Linked DNA regions of Tribolium castaneum. The protein of the gene in region 2 purifies or fractionates together with the protein of the main gene of each other region. This does not show direct contact. Links are inferred from orthologs where the notes say so. Each region holds a gene or a part of one and is shown on either strand. Other genes may lie near its edges.

Evidence for each region. Proteins that work in one complex are often made in the same cells at the same time.
Region 1: the proteins of Shc (region 2) and Egfr purify together in Drosophila melanogaster (affinity purification with western blotting; 3 studies listed by BioGRID). This does not show direct contact. The link is inferred for Tribolium castaneum from reciprocal best matches to the Drosophila melanogaster genes Shc and Egfr.

The regions. Positions count from the first base shown.
Region 1 is NC_087394.1:3,577,453-3,588,348, reverse strand, and holds the start of Egfr (epidermal growth factor receptor), read right to left. Parts: upstream 6,189-10,896; 5' UTR 6,003-6,188; coding exon of another isoform or gene 5,927-6,002; intron 1-5,926. Other genes in the region: MESK2 (protein NDRG3), read right to left, coding at 9,953-10,098. UniProt on the Drosophila melanogaster protein: Receptor tyrosine kinase, binding ligands of the EGF family and activating several signaling cascades to convert extracellular cues into appropriate cellular responses. Known ligands include spitz, gurken, vein and giant-lens.
Region 2 is NC_087403.1:6,522,821-6,533,774, reverse strand, and holds the start of Shc (SHC-transforming protein 1), read right to left. Parts: upstream 4,887-10,954; 5' UTR 4,470-4,886; coding exon 4,383-4,469; intron 4,277-4,382; coding exon 4,206-4,276; intron 4,157-4,205; coding exon 3,922-4,156; intron 3,870-3,921; coding exon 3,709-3,869; intron 1,010-3,708; coding exon 744-1,009; intron 692-743; coding exon 456-691; intron 404-455; coding exon 275-403; 3' UTR 1-274. Other genes in the region: uncharacterized protein LOC103314650, read right to left, coding at 9,089-9,275, 9,427-9,778, 10,712-10,861.

The sequences.
Region 1 (10,896 bases), on a different chromosome or scaffold from region 2:
TTGGACGCCAAAGGTCTTCGAATGGACGAATTTTCTCATTCACTTGTTAACTTACAATAATTCCTGAACTTTGAAGCCTAATAAAAATGCGAAAATGTCTACTAATTTAGTTTTATTTGTCAGGCGGGCAAAGTTTACTTACAAGTATTTTATTACCACACAAAAACTTGATACTTAATATGAGAATTGGGAAACTATTTCGTGTAGCGTTTTGATCAAAGTGGCATGTGACTATGTAACTATTTCTCCTGGTTTTAAGCTACATTTAATTTCTCTACACATACAGGATCTTTAATCTTGTATAGTTTTTAATTCACATATACAGTCACGAACAAAAAAAATGACACTCCGACCAACCGGATCGGATATTAAAAGTGTTATTCTTGTTGATCGGGACTGTACATACATTACTGCATTTTTGGATTACTCGAGTTATTTTAAGGGAATTTAAGGAAAAATTTAGTCGTTTTCAGAATATGTAGAATTTTTGAAAAATTTTGGATTTGCATCTTTGCATGCATTTTCTACAAATCAGTTATCGGCCAATAACTCCGAAATTATCAGTCATAATCCCATTCAATTAGTACCGTTAAAAAGTGTTCTTAATTATCTACACTTGAAAAAAAAGATCATTGTCCTACGATTCATAGTCATCCAAAAAATTGCCAATAAATGCAATAATACGCAAAACCTAGTTTTGTTAATAACTTGAAAACTATTCAGAATTTTGCAGTTTTCTCGAGGTCAATCGATTCCACGGATCATTTTACGTGCACGTAGTTGAAAATATCTCCATTTTGTCGAATAGTTTTACCATAATTTGATAAAATGTAGCGTGCCGATTACAACGAAACTGAACCGCCGTAATCGGCGTCTAAATTTTTTATACATTTTGATAAGGGTTTCCATGGTGGCGTAGTTTTGCGTCATTCTTGTTGATGGTCACTGTACATTCGTTACTGCATTTTTGGAATACTCGAGTTATTTTTAGGGAGTTTTTATCAACTTTCCCTATATCCAAATTGTCGTTTTCGAAATATATACAATTTTTTAGGCATATTTTTAGAGAAGGCTTAGTCCTTTTCTTTGGTGATTTCAAATTTATAAAAAATTTAGCAAATCCCGAATTTTTAAGATTAAGTTTGCAGAACTTTAAACACCCATAAGTAAAAATTTTCAAATGAAATGCCACAATTTTTATTTGATCAAATGATAAGAGAATTTAATTTTGCGTCAATTTGTATTAATATTACCTATACTTCCGTTTACTTTTCAAGACACACGAACATTTTATTGACATTCATTAATTCATTAGCTCTTTTCGCATAGGTTGCCATGGAAACGTAAGTAAAAAATATAGCAAATCAAAGTTTTTGAAATCTAAATTCAGTGAATTTATTTTATTTTAAAGAAAGCAAAGCAAAATTTTAAACAGAACTTATCGTTTATTCAGTGATAAATGTTTCTTTGCCAAACTCTGGCTAGTAAAAAATTTTCGGAAATGTCAAAGAAAACCAACGAATCTTGAAAATCATTACAGGTAGGTATAGGGAATGTCAATACAGATCTTTGTAAAATTAAACTTCCACTTAGTGATTCAATTTTTTGAAAAAAATTACTTATAGCTTTTAGAAGACGTCCAAAAAAAAGTTTTTGGAATTTCGAAACATTTTTTTTTCAATTTTAAGCACACTGAAGGAAACACAAGGGCTTTCTTTTATGATTGTTCAAAAACTATTTTCAAAATTCTAAAAATGGCAAAATTACCGATTTTTGAAGTGAAAGGTGCAATCCAAAAATTTTCAAAAAATCCGGAAAATTTCGAAAATGGCTAAATTTAAGTATAGGGAAAGCTCATGAAAATCTTCTTGAAGTAACTCGAAAAATTCAAAATCGCAGTCAAAAACATAGCTCTTTCAAAAAAAAGACGAACTTTCAATAATTTTATTATAAAGCTCAACAGTTTTTATGCACAAACTTTTATTTATTTACGTCCAAAAATTGTTAAAAAATGTGAAAGCAACATTTTGAATACAAAATCTTCGTGTCGATGCTCGAATCCAATTACGGCATGATTAATATTCTTGCCTTATTAGTTGTGCTTAATTGATCCAATTTGGAGTATTTTTTCTTTAATAATACGGCTTCTTATTGAAAGAAAGCCTTGTCTAGACCCTGTCGAATTCCTCGCCGGCTGCAGCACTGTCAAGAAAGCACGCTGCAGTCACTCAATTGACCCCCGACCTCTCTGGCCCTTGGCCCCACCAACTCTGATACATTTACAAAACTCAGTCGAATATTTTCAAACTGGAAACTCCGGAAATCTCATTCGCAGCCGGAAACCGTCCCTAATTAAGCGCATTTTTCGGACAGGTGTTCACTGACTGAAGGAAATTTGTCGATACAGAATGACAGATGTATATGATTTTTTTACTTCAAGTAATCTATAATTTATTTTGTTGTAATTCAGCGGAAATTGCGATTGCTTTTTGCACGTCAGCTTTTGATTTGCAGTCTTGGCAAATTGTGTGCAGTGTCATCGGTTTTGATGCCTTGGGTGACCTCCACAATTAATAAAATATCGAGGGAAATTTAAATTTTGCCGCACAGTATTGTATTGTTCACTTTTGAGCCAATCAAAATCGAAAAAGCAAAAGTCATCGTAGCGCAGTAGTCGAGTGACTTTGCGATTATTCTAACGGATCTAATTTCTTACACGTTCCAAATTCGCATCAGTCATTGTTTTCCCACCTTAGTTCAGGCGCTCTAATTGCGTATATCCTTACAAAAAGAAAAACAGTTAAAAGGAAATATTCATAATACTTGTTATAAACATGTCGTCAACAGTTTTCACAACACATGCATTATCGCACGTTTCGCAGAAAAATAGCAGAAATAGGTAAACTTTATTGCAAATCAAAGAAAATGGGGAACAATTTTAAATTTTACAATTCTCAATAAATAAACAATTTTCAAGAGTTTTTAATGATAATCACCCCAATAGTTAAAACAGAATAAAAAAACAGTGTTAACGATTTTAGTGGAAAAAACTGAAAAAAAAATCAAATTCAATGAACTTTAAAAATATTCATGAAAACAAACAAATGTCCTCTTTACCGACTATGGCAATTACCATTTTATTAAAAGTAGTTTCCATAAATGGAATATAATGTTCCTGGAAATGCTCTGCCGAATTTCTTGGCGCCGGACTATAAATATTTTGTTAAGTATAAAAGGAAAAATTGTAAAGTCCTTATAATCAATCATTTAATTAGTTTTTTTGTTTACTTTATGTTATATTTTCTTTTATAGTTTAAGTTGGAAGTCGAGCAATTTTTTATAGACAGTCACTTGCCCATACTGTGATTTAGGAGATTTGTCTTATCAAAATACTTCTAGTACTTAGTCTAGTCGAGAAAATCATCAAAAAATGCTGGTCAATAGACAGACAAAAATAAAGCTTTTACTCCTAACAAAACTTTATTATATTATTTTCTGGTATAATTGAAAAAAAGTGAAGAAAATGTCTTTCAAAATTTAGAGAGATAAATTGGTCACCCATTTGTCTATAGAGGGTGGGTCTTAACTTATACATTAGGAAACTTAGAGAATAATTGTTTTTGCCAAATAATAACAAAAAAAGTGGTAGTAAAGGTTTTTTAGTTACCGGAATATTGTCCAAGAAAAACATTACTAAAATTTTAATTTCTTAGAATAATAACTAGACTATCATAATTATCCCGGTACTACATAGCTACCTCCAAATAATTAAAAAAAAGTTATGCTCAATAACAAGTAAAACGCATTATATATAGATGAAATAAAAATGTTTTCTTCATGTGAATACATAATTCAAAAAATTTAAAAACAATTAAAACAGAAAAAAAAATTAAAAAATTCTTAGAATAATAAGACTATCATAGTTAATACTGGTACTACAGAAAATACCTCCAGAAAATAAAAAAAAAGTTATGATAAACAAAAAGTAAAACGCACTGTATATAGGTGAAATAAATAAAAAGAATAAATAAAAATAAATAATAAAAAATAATAAAATAAATAAATAAATAAATAAAAATAAAAAATAAGAAATAAAAGTTTTTTCTTCATGTGAATACCTAATACGAAAAATTTTAGACCAATTAAAACAGAAAAAACTAAAAAAAACAGAAAAAACAAAAACCTTCAAGTACTAACTGCTCAATGATTTCTAAACAATTTTCACACGTTTCTACTCGTATTCAAGTAACTTTGAACAAGTTTTTGATTTTAGATATTTTTTCCCATAAAAAATAAATTTTTTTTCTAAACTTATTTTCCATTTTCACACGTTTCTGCTGGTATTCAAGTAACTTTGAACAAGTTTCTGATTTTTGATATTTTATCCCACAAAAAATAAGTTTTTTTTCCAAACTTATTTTCCATTTTCACACAATTCTGCTCGTATTCAAGTAACTTTGAACAAGTTTTTGATTTTTGATAGTTTTTCCCACAAAAAATAAGTTTATTTTCCATTTTCACACGTTTCTGCTGGTATTCAAGTAACTTTGAACAAGTTTCTGATTTTTGATATTTTTTCCCACAAAAAATTAGTTTTTTTTCCAAACTTTTTGGATTATTTCCATAAAAAAATTATTCTTTTTCTTATTTTCATTAAGGTCCTTAATGAGCGTAATTCATAACCGATGCCTTAACTTTTTTTTGTTACGATCGAATGTAGAGTTTTAAAGAAATTTAGAAAAAAATCTGATGTAAAAAATTTTGGAAGCGCTTCACAATGTGGCAATTTATAAGGTTGTAGGACAATAAATAACAATTCTATTTTTTTCACATTTATTATGGTCCGTAAAATAATAGATACCGAATTTTCCATGGCAAGATCGTCTTTAAAATGTCCCAAAAGACTGAGTTTTGCATACAGAGTTGAGCAAAAGTATGGAACTTTCATAATTATTTAAAAAAAAACATTGGTGTAAAAATAAAATTTTGATTTTTTTTTATAATAACCCAAAAAAAATTGTACTTTAAACATAACCCCATTTTCAAGTCCTTCATGAGGTACTAAGAGGTTTTTTCGTAAGGTACATAGTTAGGCACAGAATGCTTGGTTCCATACATTTGTCCAACTATAAAAATTAAAGGAAAAACTGACCTGGTACTGGAGAAAAGGAAAGAAAACAGGATCTGGCACAGGAGTGGTGAAATGAAATCGGTAAATCGTCGTTACCAAAAGTTTTTGATTGTCACCATACGAATAATTAGTGTTAAGGCTGTTAATTTTAACAACACAATCACAAACACAAGGAAACATCACAAAAATAAAAAGCACATCACGACCACACAGTCTAGCGTCTCAGTGTCACTATTATGGCGGTCTTTTTATCCAGAGCTGCCAACCTTGTCACACAAAGTTCCTGAGTGAGGGTGCGAATTTCGAATTAGTCATTATTTTTTAATTCACTAGTAATTACAACTGAAAACATATCTGGATGTACCTAATGCAGAAAAAACTAATAGGTAATTCAAGCCTCATTAGAGCCGATTTTTTTCTGATTAAAGCCATAAATTTTGAAATCAAGTTGGCAACATTAACGCAAAAACGGAAAAAAGATAAATAATGTGGCCAACTTAACTTCAAGCCAACGTCCCGAAAAATTAGTTTTAATTGGAGTAATTAAAGCCCTCAAAATTTCACCCTCCACTTGACCTGAATCCGAAATTTTTGAACAAAGAGTGATGGATCGACGTTTCAAAAAAGTGACACTTGAAAGCATCAGTTGGAATGCGGCTCTCCTTTTAAACGGTCCCAAGTGGTCTTGAGACCTCTGTAAGCGATTTCCAAAGAAGCGCGCAATAAACAAACATTATTCCAAAGCAATAAATAAATAAAAAAATTAAAGACAGCTCATCAGAGAGACGCACTCACCTCTAACCCCCATGTCCACATTACACCCTCCAAAGCCAGCCATGGCCAGGATAATCCCCAGGAGAAAAATATCCATTTTGAGAAAAACAAAACCAAAATTCCAGAAAAAAAAAAACACTGCTCACAGCATCACAACACTGCACTAAGTCATCATCCGAGTGTCATGGGAAAAAACAAAATAAGTACGACAACCTGTTGCACAACTCGAAGCAACAACAACACCACCTCTCGACGACTCGATTTCGAATGACAACAATTGAACGTCGCGCTTCTCGAGCCCGGAGCGACCGGAGGCGAAGACGGCCGAAGTGTCACAGGTAGATTAGTGACCTTGTGAGCAACAGGTAAGAGAGAGATGGGGCTATTGTGCTCCTTGCGTAGAAGAATGTTGATCTGTATTATTGTTGGGAAAAGATGAAAAAGCCATGGTAGAGTCGACCAATGGGTGGGTCGAGCTGGGGGTCAGGGGAGATGGTAGCGAGTCCGATGGGTCGATGGGTTTACGTAATGCGGTAGCGCGTCTATCATTCTGGTTTGAGAATTTTTAATTGCGGTGGTGTTGGAGGGATTGCGTTTTTTTTGGATTAATTTGATGGTAGATCAATGAACTTATGAATGAGCTGGGACGAGATGGTCAATGTGGAACTGGAAATTTATTAGCGCAATTAGCGGTTGTTGGAGTTTTTTGAATGGAGACGCGTTGGTTGTGCGTCAGGTGAAGCATAATTTATTGCTACATTGACGGCTTCAAGTTATGACTATTTTGAACGAACCAAAGTTCCATAGGAAAATGACTTTTTTATTTTGGTGGGTTCTTACTGAACAACAGAAAAGTGGCCATAGTTGGAACATATTACACAGACTTGGTCCAAAATATTTCAGTTTTGTCTCACCATTTGGCCGTAGTTTAGAAAAAAAAACTTTCCAACAGTTAAATAATTTATGTGATTTTGACATATTTTTTTCTTTTTTCAGCCTCTTTTTTAAACAAACTTTCTTAACACGCATTTTTCGAGAGCTTTTCTTACAACTCGAAATAAATTGGAACTGAACAAAAAACTGTTGTTTGATTATTTTGGAAATCTCGGCCATATCATCTGAAATTTTTCTGTTTTCTAAGAAAATTTCTAGTTTTCTATTAGACTGGGCTTCAAAAATCGTGGATAAACTGTCGATCGATTTGTCTTTGATACATTCCAATTCGAAAATTGTGTCAAAACTTAAATATTTTGGCAAAAACTCAATTTCATCGCGAGATTCTCTCACAAAACTCAAAAATGTACCAAACTTGATCAAAAATCTTTATATCTTTTTATGATCTTTAAGAAGCAAAAACAAAAAATAGGGTGTTTCATTTAAATTTTTCAAGTTTTTTAACAAACTTGCAATTTTTTAGTTTTTTTCTACATTAAGTTCCTTATGCTTGCTATCGTTAGGAAATACTTTCACTTGTGATTATGAGTAAAAAGTAACAAAAGTAATTAGGTAATAATTATTACATATTGAAAAGTTATCGAATTCGAAATTCGCGCCCTCTTATGGAAAGGTAAGGTTGGCAACGCTGGAAGAAAAAACCGCCAAACTAGTGACACTGACGCTAGACTGGTTGTGTTGTGCCCTTTAATTTGTGTTTTTTCCGTGTGTTTGTTCCCATCCGTGTGATTGTGATATTAAAATTAAAAGCCCGAACACTAATTATTGTGACAATCAGTGCCCGAATGTGCAAAAAGATTTACCGATTTCACCACCTCCTGTGCCAGATCCTGCTTTCTTCGGTACCAGGTCAGTTTTTCCTTTTTATAAAACGCCAAATAAGAGAAACCAGTGCAACAATCGATTTTTAGTAAATGTTAATTGAACGCAAAGCCACTGGAATTGGGAACAAACATAACCTTCACCTAACACCTTAAAACTTTTAATAAAGTATCACTTTGCTGGTTCTGGATTAACAATAGGCCAAAAAGTAGCATTAGCAGTACTAGCACTTTTCAAAATTCATGGTATTGTTAAAGTCGTCTCGAAAGTGATTGAAATAGTCCACAAAGTATACAAGCGTGTAACGTTGGTTGCATAATATTTTAAACTTTTGTGACACAAAATTCAATCTTACTTACACATTTATACACTTAACAGACGTTTTTAAATTTGCCCAAGGCAGCTTCTGTTAACTTTTTCGAAAATAAATCAAAAAATGCTAACTTTTTAGGCTCTTTGACAAAGTCAGCTGAATATGTTCTTTCATAAAAATTCGTTGATGAGTGTGCATATTTAAACCTTTTTCTTTGAATTATGAACCTTGTGCATCGGTGACACCAATAAATTTATACTTTTGTCAGCAAATGGCTGCGATATGAACTTCCAGTCGGATACAAATGCAAAACATTACGTTGTTTAAATGCAAATGATCCGAATAAAGCTTCTCCATTTGTATTAATGTCATTTGGGAAACAGAAATTTTCATACAAAGGACAAACCGTCTGTTTCCTGAACCCGCTGACCTCTTCCTCCGGTTTTAGACAATTTATTAAAATTAATAACAGCTTAACGTAAACCTTTAAACCTAACAGCAGTAATTTATAGAAATTTTTTGTGGTTTTTTGGGTGAATTTTTTAAGTCGACTTTCTTGGGCTCCCCAGATGTCTTTTGCAGCGCGATGTTTTTAAATGTTTCTGCTGACATTTATTTCCTGTTTCAAATTTTTCTTTTCAGCTTTCAGTTAATGTACTTCGTGAAATGTACTAGGAATAGTCAGTGTAGTGTAGTTTGTTGACTACTGATTAAATTTGTTTTTTTTATTGGTAATCTATTTTTCTTATGTAATGCTCGCAGCAGCGTGTATAAATCCAACTTTCAAACACGCGCGTTTTTTAAAGTATCCGTGGCAACATCAATAACCCAAGAAACGTGAAGTATAAATGGCGTTTTTTAATGAGTTTTTATTATAATGACCATCAATTCCATGACAACGAAAGGTAGAATTTTTGTAATATTAATATTAGTATTTATGATTTCAAAGGGTACTAATAAAAAAAAACGTAAATTATTCGTCGATAACTTGCTCTATTTGGAGCACTCCGGTTACGCCGTCGTGCTCGAAAAATCGTGCGTGTCTTAAAGACCTCCATATCCACTTAAAGTTTAATATATTATTTTAACTACTTTTCAAAGCTTGATACATATTAAAAAAATATTGTATCCACAGTTCATTAAAAGTCGAGCATTTTTTTTTGGTTGAATAAATAAAGCCACAAGCAACGTTTTAAACATTTTATTAAAATTAAATAGTGCTTAACTTAAACCATTAACAAAGTGAGGCACAATACGATTATTCATCACATTTCAAAACATAAAACTACATCGCAACAATATAAAAACCGAACAGCATCCAACGACACCGATCTTATCTTACATAACCTTACGAAATGATAAGAACTGCTTGTTCGTGAGGGGTTCTCCTTAAAATTCATTAAATAGTAGGCTTTCTATCAACAGGTAAAGCTCCACCTACAGCTATTTTTCTTAAATACGTAATCGTCAACTAATCACAACAGAAACTCAAAACACTGTTGTTAGGTCCTAGTTAAGCGCACCTAGTCGATATGGCGTGATAGAATTTCGTTGCGGGCCTAAATAACTCAATCTGGGCCTAGATATGTGCTTCAGAAGGGCAGTGGCCAACGAAACGTCTGTATTGAAATTTATCACAACTCACGCCCCCTATGACCGAAAATTTAAGCTCATTTTTCTTATAGTTTCCTGTTATACCGACTGTCGCCGCCATTTTCAAACCTAACTTTATATATCTCTTAAAAAATAATCGATTCTAGTCTAGTTTAGCGCCTATTTTCGAAAACATCACATGCTTAATGCGTCCCGCTTGATATACAGGGGGATTCCTCGAAGCGTCCGCCAGCTTCCCGCCCGACAAATCCTCCATAAATTCCAATACAGCTCAAATAAGTGTGTGTATATGTGTTGATAGTGTGATTGTGTGAGCAGTGGCGGCGGTTATTATTATTATTAATTTAACAGACGACAGCCGATATCGGATTTTCGGTGATATGGATGACATTCATTGGCCATTGTCCGCCATTAGGCATTTTCGATTTGAGCAGTTCTTCCAGCGACGTTTTGCGGAAAAGAGCCATTTTTGTGGGAGACAGGGGCGCCACTGTAAACACAAAACATCAAACTGGCGAACGGGGCGACATCTCCGCGCCAAATCAGAAATGTCAGTGCAACCCTTCAGATCTGTGTGTGTTTGGTAGTGTCAAGTGCCAAAATAAGAAAATACGACAAGCAGACGCATGCACCAAGCGAAATTAATCAAGGAAAAACAACTCCCACATACAGGGTATTGCAAAAAACATAAAACAGTTTTTGGTCCTTCGAGCCGGATATAAAACCCTGTATTCGGCCGTCATTTTTAAATATACAGAGACACACACACGACTCACAAGACACGACAGATGAAGATCATGCCACTGCCACCTATGAAACTACGAAAAAAATAAACTCGCATCATCATCAAGACAACGTTGGTTAGTTCCGTGTAAGTACAGGATGTCCGAATCTAACCGCACGAAAAAGTATTGTGGATACTTGGTTAAGCAAGTCCATGTTTTACTCCTTTGTTCGGTTATTAATTGGAACAGCCTGTATTAAGTATAACTTGTTTATTTATATACAGTGTTCTCGTGTGAACGCAACTTACGTGTCAATTTTCGGGATTTTTTCGGGCCGAACGACAGGCCAGGCTTTAAAAAGTTTTACCTTCTATTGACACGCTGCTACTGGCCCGTCGGCGCACTTGCACGGCTAAAACAACACGACATAGCGATGATAAGAGTCAAGTAGGCTAGAAATCAAACAAAATGGCGCCCCGACGACTGCTAACAAAAAATCAACACATACTAGATGAATTTATTCAAATAAATAAATACACAAAGGGGTGAAAGCACAACACAAA
Region 2 (10,954 bases):
ACTGTTACCATAACACGTTATAAATGCGTAAAAAATTAATACTTGTTTAAAGTTCCTTGAATACTTTTGATATGATTATGCTGTGCCATATGGAAAACATAACCGTTCGCCCGGAATAAAAGAAAAGATCTCACTAAACAAGTTTAGCAAAAACCGTTTCGAATTTTTACTATATGGCATGAAAATCTTTGTACTATAATTTGCTAAACTTGCAATGAACAGTACTAGAACATAGAAGCTAGTGCAAGCCAGATTAATATTCACCAACTAAAAACTATGATATTCTTGGTACTGGGTTGCGAAGTACTAGAACGCTTTCAGCCGATATAATGGGGAGGACGTTCTCGCAGTGGAAGTTGATGAGATGGCTAACACTGTTGAACATCCGATCCCTCGTCCGAATCTATAAAACAAAACAATTAGCTAAAGCCCAGAGAAATCAAAGTCGTACTGACCACTCCTTCAGGATCTATCAACAGGAGATGTTTCTTCGTGTCATCTTGAATCCCCGAAAGCACGAATTGTCCTTCCGAATTCGGCGACTCCCGCACGAGAAAATCCCCATCCTTCTGGAGAAGTCGCTCAGCATCTGCGCGACTGATCTGTCCATGAAACCAAATTTCATGCTGTAATTCCGCTAAGTGTTCTTCAATACTTCTAATCGGTGGTTGGTGATGCGTCGTAAACGGTTCTAAAGTACCAAAAGTCAAAAATTGAACAAGGAAAAATTCAAAGCGACTTACGCATATCAAAAACGTCCCTTTCTTTAATCGTAATACTATCATTAACGTAATCGTGATGTGGCGTATCGAAAACGGAAATGTCGGAATTAAGGTCTATTAAGTTAGGACTTTGGACTGATGGTAGGGTTGTAAATGGTGGCACGACGGAAGGAAGCGGAGGGACAGGTGGAGGACCCACATCGGGAGGTACTTTGCCTGGAAGATCGTTGTAGTAGTCTTTATCGGCGTCGCCACCTGTGGACGTCGACGGCTGGCCCATCGCAAGCCTGGAAACCACCGTCAAAAATACCGCCACATTTAACAAGCAAAAAGTGGTCACAAAAATACCAACTCATACATAATTATCTAAAGAATTGTCAATTCTTCGCGTTTATTAAAAAAAAAAAAAGAAAGACGAAAAGGAAGGTGGCTCCATTTTTTTCCAAACACACATAAGGTAATTCAAAAATAGCAATGTTGAAAATGGGAAAATCCAGATATTAGGAGCATCTTGTGGCCTTTTGTGCAATATGATGTTAATTGCTTGGTCAGAAGCCGCACAATATAGATATTCAGCCCGTCGAACTTTTTACTTAACATAAATAAATTTACAAGGTGCATATTCAATAAGTAAAGACTTACCTATTACAACAACAAAGTTATTAAACGGTTACTAAAACCCACAGCTTCTATCGGTTTTCTCAAAACTTCATTTTTGACTGCTGTTTTTGAATTTAATTTCTAAATCTTAAAACTTATTTTTAACTTTACAAGTCGGGTTACAACCCAAAACTACAAAAAAAACAAGTCAGTTTCATCACATTAAATTTATATAACAACGATCAAGAATGACTTGAGCTGGAGCTGGTAACAGAATAAGAGCATGTCCTTATTCAGTGCTTCTGCTTGCAACCGAATATGGTTTTGTTTAACAAACATTTCATGTTTCATAATACAATTGAATCGTTTATTTCACTTTTCGAATAAGTCGACAATAAACTATTGAAGGGCACAGGGGAAAAACGACTTCAGTCCGTCTCAACTAAAATCACGAACAATCAAATCCAAAGTTTTCTCACGTGGACCCGTAACTTTTTTTCCTTTTTTCCTCAGTAGAGTGTATCTTGTAACACATTTTGCTCTGAACTAAAGTCGTATTTGCTATTTCCCGCCTCAATTATTTGATAGTTTTCTCAAAAACTACAATACTGCAACTCCACATCAATTTCTTAAACAAGTGGACAGGTCGTTTTCCCCTGTCCCTTCAATTTGTTTTAAGAAATACAATACTATAAATTGTGTTATTTGTTTATTGCGGTCGAAATCATTTAAGATAAGAATTTACCACCCATTTCACGATAACAGATTAACAATAATAAGATTTTTTTATAATTTAAGAAATTATGTCATATTAAAGGTTATTTGTTAATCATACTGTCACAATAAAAAAAAATCTAAAAAAATGCAGTTAGTAACTTTCCCATACAAACCAAATTAACAAGAAAAAACATTTCATTATCGGAAAAATATCATGAGAAATTATTTTTTCAACTAAATAATAATAATAATAAAATAAACTTGAATACTGGGTAGTTCTTTGTATACAAGTGCGATATACAGGATGTATGCAAATTGGCGCACAAACTCTTCAGTACGCTATAGCACACGTTCCAACAAACTCTAGAAAAAATAAATAAAAAAATCCCCTTTCACTTATTCTTAGTAGTATAAGGAAGTAAAGTGGAGATTTTTTTCTTAATTTTCTTAAATAATTTTAATCGGTGATAGTATCAAGACAGATACCAAGTTCCTCTACCCTTCAACACATCACAATTATTTATAATAATCTTTAACATGTGTTTTTTATATTCAGACATCTAAAAAATTGATCCGGCAACATAGGAAAAAATCCATAGTTATAATATTGCAACTACTCCACAACAATTAATAGAGGTACGTCGAAAACACTCGAGTACTGACAATGCTGCAAGTTTTACCAAACAATTTTGTGTGAATAAATTCGTTAAAAATGACGATGGATTTTTTATAACATTTTTATAAGATTTTGAAACGTTTTTACAACCTATGCGCTTATGCGCTATTTTGTATACACGCTGCATATAAACTAATAAATATCATTGATATTTGTGATATTTATGGCGATATTTTATCAAGCATGCCAACCCTAGTTTGAAGTGCTAAAATTTCAGGAACCGGAACCATTTAAAAATAAAATTTAATATTTACTGTAAAAAGAAAGTTGGTAAAATAATATCAACTACCTATAGATTTTGCTGACATATCAAAGATGACCAAAGATTCTAACAAAGCAATAGGAGTGTCATGAAGTCAGATTAGGTGATCACGTGAAGAAAATGGACCAATCCGATGCTCAGGTTCACGGGACAATCACGAGTTAACTTTTTAGCGGCCTTAATAGGTTTAACATTATGATCAACATTACTGCCAATAAATAGCAAGAAATAGGTCTGTTTTGACAACACATCTGTTAAAAAAGTAACACGACGCTCTTAAAATAGATAAACGATACCAAAATTAACAAGTCTTGTATTTTTTGTCTCTGGTCACAGGTCAGATTAATTAGAGTGTTATTTGGTGTTTCAATACGTGTAGTATCATTTTTTATATTTCGCGTGTCGTATTTTAAACCTTTAGACTTCTAAAAGTGACTACTAGTTTTTATGTACATATAACGTAAAAACTGCCTTCATTATGCCAGTTATTAAACATATTTTAACTCAAAAAATACTAGTATACTCATGTTATACAATATGGAGCCACCATAAATAACAATTAATTTAATTAGCGCAGTAAACGTAAAAATGAGTTTTAACATGGAATGAAAGTCGCCATGTTGTACAACATTACGTCCTTGAAACAGGCGTAATTTTGTGTGTATTGATTTTGTTCCAAAGTGTTATTAATGCGACCACAACAATAATGTTATTACAAAAGAATAAATTACCCGATTTGTGCTGGTTTCATGTATTGTTTGAACCTCAGTTCGAAAGCTTGCCCTATGGTTGCTATAACATCTTTGGCTAACCCACCCCCACATTCTAGAACATAGCAGGCTCTAAAGTCGTTGATGTCTTTCGCAATGTAACCAACAAAGTCCATAGTGTCCTACAAGCTATCTGGTTACATAATATAAGAGATGAAGGCTTTTCCAACTTACAATATCGCCCCCTGAAGCAAACGAGATGTGGGGCATGTCATGACACGCAATGACTTTATTGTCATCTAGCGAAGTTAAAGATAGGTTCGAACTTGATACATTTAGACTAACGTTCGCCCCTGCGTGGGTCATATTAGGAACTTCAGCAATGGCTTTTAAGACTTTCTTGTCGACTTTTCGTTTCTTATCGGCCGTTTTTAACCCGGCGGCCTCACAGACCTTATTTATACATTCTCTAAAGCGGAACTGGTGATTTTGGGGGTTTGGGGGCCGAGAGTACTTACTTGGCAACAGTCGACCGGGTTTTGAAATTGAGGATTTTCATGGAGACTTTCACCTCCAGACATCCAACATACTGGAAAGAAGAAAATTCGTATATAGGGTGTGACTGTTACATGGAGGCACGGCAAAATCGATATTGCGGTTCTACATGGCTCGCAAATTGGATTTTTGACTCTTACCCTAACTGCATAAGTCGCCCCTTGCTTCGAAATTAGTTTATCGGAGTGAATCCACCCACCCAGTGGCTTGCTAATAAACGTCGACATTTTCGCTGCGAATTCCTGCGATAAGATGGGTGTGAACCTGCCTGACTAGTTCTTTTCCACCGGTTTTTCTCGCTGCAGCGAGGAAAATCGACGATTTTTCACAAGAAAACTTGCCAATTCACCCAATATGACGTCTACGTCGAGAAGCATCGGTTTCCACGGCCAACTACGCAGTACGCACTAATTCCTCACATTTAACTTACTAAACTAGTATCACAATTTTTTCATTATTTCGATGCAAACGAGGGGATTTTCGCATTTCTAGAGGCGCACATAGCAACAGAAATTCAAAAATAAGTCGACTTTGGGGAGGACATGCTACGCTTGCAGGCTCACATTGCACACCCGCCTCATTTTGCTTTTGTTTTCTAACCGTTTACGTCATGAACATGGCTCACTTCGCCGATATTAATATTTAGAAGGGGATGGAATCAGCACTGCGCAACTCGGACCGATCACACCCGAACGCGCCCGATCTGATAAACAGGAATCCCCAAAATGGGAGCGTTTTTTAAATAAAAAAGGTCAAAATATAAATAGCATTTTACGTCATAACACTTTCGATAACAGCCCAACACCTCATTTTGTCCAAGTTTCTTGAAAAAAAATCTACCAAATAGACTTTTTTCAAAAACATTTTCGATGTGTAAAGTTTCCAGAGTAGCAACAACGCCTCATTAATTTCATGACAATCGTATTGCCCCCTTTCAATGGGCCTCTTCTCGTCAGGAATCAAGAAAAAATTATAAATTATAATGATGAATTTTGCATTTGATTTGAATGATAGACCATCTCAAAGTCAAAAGAGCAATGCCCGGATGGTGTGTAAAGGGCAATTAGATATAAATACACTTCAATTTGTTGCTTTGGTACTGTTCAAAATTTTTACCTACCCGCCGGATACGAGGGATTAAAAAGCAATTTTGAAAAATTTTAATTTGTCAAATGTTGAGTTTTGTGAGAGAATCTTGGGAAACAATTAAAACAATTGATTTAAACAAATCAATCTTTATCAAAAACAAATCGATCCACAATTTTTGAACCCAAGTGTAATAAAAAACTTGAAATTTTCTTAGAAAAGAGCGAAATTCTAGATGGTTTGGCCGACATTTAGAAAATAATCAAACAATTTTTTTCAATTTTATTCAATTTGAAACAATTTTTTGTTCAGTTGGGAACGCCGCTTGATTGGTCTGCTTTACAGTTGGGAGTGCATTACCCCTCCCATATCCAATGACAAACGCTTCAATCGTCTTGCAATTTTTTGTGCACCTGATAAACAAGTAGGAGGTGATTTTAATATTTTTATTGGTCAATTACGCATTTCTGGGACAAATCAGGAAATGAGAACCGGTTAAGGGCCGGTCTTTCTCACAGAATGCGCTTTCGCCTTGGGTGCCAATAAAATGGTCAATTCTGCTTAGTTTTTAAAATAATTCAATTTTTTATAATTTTTATAATTTATTTTATATTTAATTTATATAATTTTTATAATTTTCAAAATCAAAAAATAATTTAATTTAGAACCAGAGTATGTACATTTTCAAAAATTAAAAGTACAAACACTGACAAAGGTACTTTAACGCTGAGAAACTATAAACACAAAAAACTAAAAAATATAATTGAGACTAAAATTCTGAAGAACTAAGCGGCTGAAAAATTAAGAAGCTGAAAAAAATCTCTGGAAAACAGTTCAAATTGTTATCGACCTTTCAGATTGAGTACCGTTATAGTTACTTTTGTAAAGAGTAAAAATAAGTTATATATTTTTTTACTTCAATATAGCAGTCAATAACTTTAATTTCCTTCAAAAAATAATGAAGTAATTGAAAGAGAAAGAAGACAGCTGGAGAATGGACATCGGAGAGAAAGGCTTTTAATAATTGTGGTGCTTCAGGTACTCTACCACTTGGCTTTGAAATGATTATGGCCAAACTGTTTGAGATAACTGTGAGTGCACTAAGTATACAGGTGAATAATACTTCTTGAACAGTCAGTTATTGCAAATTCATTAAACTCTGATTGAAGCATCAGTAATCGGTTTACCATTGCCAATATTCTGAAAATCAATCATTCGTGATAGAACTGGAGTTGTAATTACAGCGACAAAGTAAATTAGCCATCCTACAATTCTGTAGATAATCTAAATCTCAATTTACATGGCTTATGCCATATGTATGATAGAGCAATATTTTAGTGACATTAGAAAATAGAACAGAGATTTGACTTGATTTGATGACGATGTTTTTTTAAACAACTTTCGAAGTGCAGGCTCTGCGGCTAAAGTAATTAAAATAATTTGAATATTCGTGTATTTTAAGTGCAGTTTAGCTTTTTGCAATCGAGTTGACCATAAGTGGCAGTTTTTGCTAAAAATTATCCCGCGTTCTGTGGTGCTTTTTGAATTTTAATTAAGCCACTACGTCCTAATTAAATGTGAACAAACCCCAACAATAGGTGTGCAGCTAGAGATAATTAAATGAAACATTTGTTTTTCTTTCTTTGATGACGAGAACATCTGCATGAATTGCTTCAATGTCACAGTTTAAAAAGAGTATCCTTAGGAGGATGTGTTTTGTTTGAAATGTTTGTAAAACAAGCTCAAAGACTGTCAAAAATAAACACATAAAAGGAGAGTTAAATGCTGCAGTCGCAGTAAAAATGTTTCAAATTATTAGTAAATTTGGATTGATTTACACGGCCGAGGCATTTATTTTTATGGCTGCTGTGTTGCGTTTTGCTACACGCTGTATATGGGTTGTGTAAATGTAATTTCTCTTTCAAAGCAAACTAATAGAATCATGTCAATAAATGCCAGATCCAGGCGGAATAACAAATAAAATTGTTAAATTGACAGAATAATCGGTTAGCTAATCATCATTGATGTGAAATAATAATACGAGAACGCAACGGCCATTAACATTATTCACGCAGACATGTTTGCAATTAACGAATTAACAAATCAATAAAGGATTTAAAAAGGTACGAGTGTATGAGCACGGATATGCGAAGGAATAATTCAAAAAGTAACAAGGACGGTAATTTAGGATTAAAAGTGGAAGGATATACAGAAAGCGATTTTAAATAATAAAAATGCGCCATTTGATGCGAAACGTCGACAGAAAAATTGTGTGTTTAATATTCGGCCTGTCATTATTTCCATCATACATTCAAATAAAATAAGCTTTGGTGAGTTTTTATTTTGCAAGTTTCATTTTTCTTCGAGATTCCGTAAACGTCCAGTATTTTTATCGAATCAAGAAATTCTAGTTCGGAGCCAACTGTTTTTGCCAGCAAAACTTTTCACGTGAGAAAAAATACGCATCGGTTGCATTGGTTAGTTGCAGGATTAAGGGTTTCGTGCTAGGAGAAAAATTGCAAGCAAGTGTATTATTATTTACGGATCCCTTGAAGCTTCAGCTATACATATTAAATGAAGCGAAGTACAATCAATAACATCAACATCGTGCAAAAACGGGGTATAAACAATGAGGTTAAATTTTCAGCTCTATGAACAGACGTCTTTTTGGGTTGTTACTAATAACGACAAAAAGTTTGCTTGGCTCTTGCAGCCATTAATGTAATCCATTAACTCCAACCCTGAATTATAAGCCCGTTAAGCACAACAACACTACTTTAACGGTAAAAATCGGCCCCGTGAATCTTCCCCTTTTTTAAAAATAAAAAAATAAATTACTTTTGCGAAAAAAATCCGGGGGTAAATAGAATTTGCGTCAAATTTTCCACAAGAATAGGAGTTCCACACCAAAGAAATACTGTCACATGAGCACGCACATTGTCTCGTTAAAAATTTATTTCTTTACACGTCACTTGAGGCGAGGCTTTAGGACTATGTAGTGTCCCAACGGTGTGACGATGGAATATTGTGGCTGCCATTAGAGTCATCAAAAATTTAATAAAAGAATATTGTCACTTCTTTTAGAATTATTTTTATTTCGGGATCATTCCCATTCAAGGAAGGGAAACGGCGCGTTTGAATTTCCCCATCATGTCACAGAAGCGCGACAATTAATATTTGCTGTTACTTTTCTTTCCTCCAAAAGTTGGAGTTTGCGTCTAATTGATGATATGCTATTTTTTCGATTGATTTCAGGTAAAAAACAAAAATTGAACTGAACGTAGCGTGCTCTCATTAGAGCCAACGAGACTAAAGATGCTAAAAATGGATTATTTTATCGTTTTATTCAGTTTTAATTAATAGACTTGCACGGTTTAGCTTTACACAATTCACGATTTGAGAAGTTGAATGGTTTAGTGTTGGCGGGCGAAAATAAAAAACAATTATGAAATATTGAAGTGTTCGTAGCCAATTATCCGTCGTTCGATGGAGGATTTAATGCTTAATTTAGGAAAATTACAAGTTTAGTGAAGTTGGAATTGAATCAGCAAGAAAATTAATTAGAAATTTAAGTGTCATTGAAATGGTTGTTTGAATTGATTTGCTCATCCTTGTAGGATTTGAGGAGTAATAAGAATTGTAAACGAGGGAAATATTTTATTAAATAAATAATAAAACAAGTTTTTGATGAAATAAATAAGTGCGAGTGATGATTAGGAATCTGGATCAATTTGTGGAGTTCTGGAGTACGTGACGTCTCCTACGTAGATGTCGCCGTTTCATTGCTAGTATTTGTAGCAGGAGCGACAGCTTCGGTATTAGTCTCATTGGTTTCGGGTTTTCCGAAAGTTAGACCTAGTAGATTCCCGAAGAAAACAAGACCTTGTTCTGCCGACTCATTTACAGCGGCTATTAGTTCCTCTTCATTTAGTCCTTCCGATTCGCTCCTGAAATAAGTCACCGCTTGTACAGAACGCGTTATTGATTCCATTCTCCGCAACTACTTATTCCCAACGAACTTACGGAAAGCTTAATCAAGGTTTTATTTCGCTATTTCCGTCCATTCCCTATTATGAATACGTCAAAGATTAAACTTACTGCGTGGCATTGTTGCTGCCTTTTTCGGGCTGGAGAAGTGTCGTGAGGGTGGAATTAACACTTTCTTCCAGTTTCATGCCTTCGGGCCCCATCGTAAAACATCCAATATTAAAACTCGCTGTAACATCGCCCAGCAATTTCGGCTCTAATAGTAAACAGCCTCGCAGTCCATCATTGTACGGCTGTAAGTCAGAAAAACGGGCACACACTTGCGCTAAATTAGCCAACAGGGCCATACAAGTCGGCGCTGGATTAGGGCCTTTCACTTGCTCGCTGTGAAGAAGACTTTCCCCATAGGAAACGTTGACAGCAATCCCTTCGTCCTGCGAAATGTATCTCATTCGAACACAACCTAAACATAAAAAATTCAACAATTTCCTCGGAATTAACAACGGTATTGAAACTTCTAACGCAAAAATTAAACTTTACAATTGTGTTACCAGTCTTCAGAACTGCACATAAGAACATAAAGCGCAAAACTAATTACGCAAAGCCCAACTTTGAGCTCAAATTATTAAGTCGGATACTAGAAAAATTAACATGAGATTAAAAAAAACTTACAAACTCAGATTAAAAGTAAGCCGGCTTTTGAATATGTAAAAATAAATCAATCTTCGGAACGTGTTCCTGCGATGTGAATTGTAAACCACATCTCCCTTTAAAATTTGAAATTTAATTAGAGTTCAACTTTTAGAGGAACTCTCCTAAACTCGAGCCATTTTTATTAAAATTATCCAACTTTAGTTAAGCCAAATATAGAGCGTTTTGTAATAATTTACAAAGTTTGAGAAACAAACGCAAGTAAAAGTTACTCCTTGTAATGACTGACTTTTGTAATTGTATTAAAATAATATACACGAGGCGAAAATTAAAAATCATAATTAACAAAATGTGTAATTTGCGAAAACGTTGTCGTCAAGACAAAATACAACCAAATTTCTTTAGAAACCCGTCCCCCTATTACGCTCAAATTAAAAAAAGTATAATAATACGTCGGAAAATTAATTAATCAAAAACTGTTTGTAGTCTTGCAATCCCTCAAGCAAATCTCGAATAAAATATTTGTTGTTTGTAAAATGTTGCGTCTTTGTGCTTGTATAGCTTTTATTATTAGTAGCTAATGAATTGCCGTACGGAAGGAGAATGTGAAACACATCCTCATTTCAAGTCTGCAAGCAAATCCTGGTTGCGGCTTGGAACATTTCAAAAATGTGCATTAAGAGATCCTTATTTTAAACAAAAATTCGATGTGTGGTAAGGTTTGGTGAAAACAAAAAGACCGTACCTGGCCCTCCCAGGTCGATGTAGGTCAGATTGAAATCGACGCAGCACATACAAGACGGTCCATCACATTTGCAAGTTCTGAGGGCCGTCGAATCTGAGTTGTCATCCCTCTGTTCTAAGTCACTTCCTTCGTGTCCCCAGTTCCAGAAATCTGGAAAGACGTGTGCAAGGCCGAGCTTAATTACACAATAAACTAATGTGTGACAACAATAGCTTGTGATCTAAAGAAGTGGAAATTCAGTTC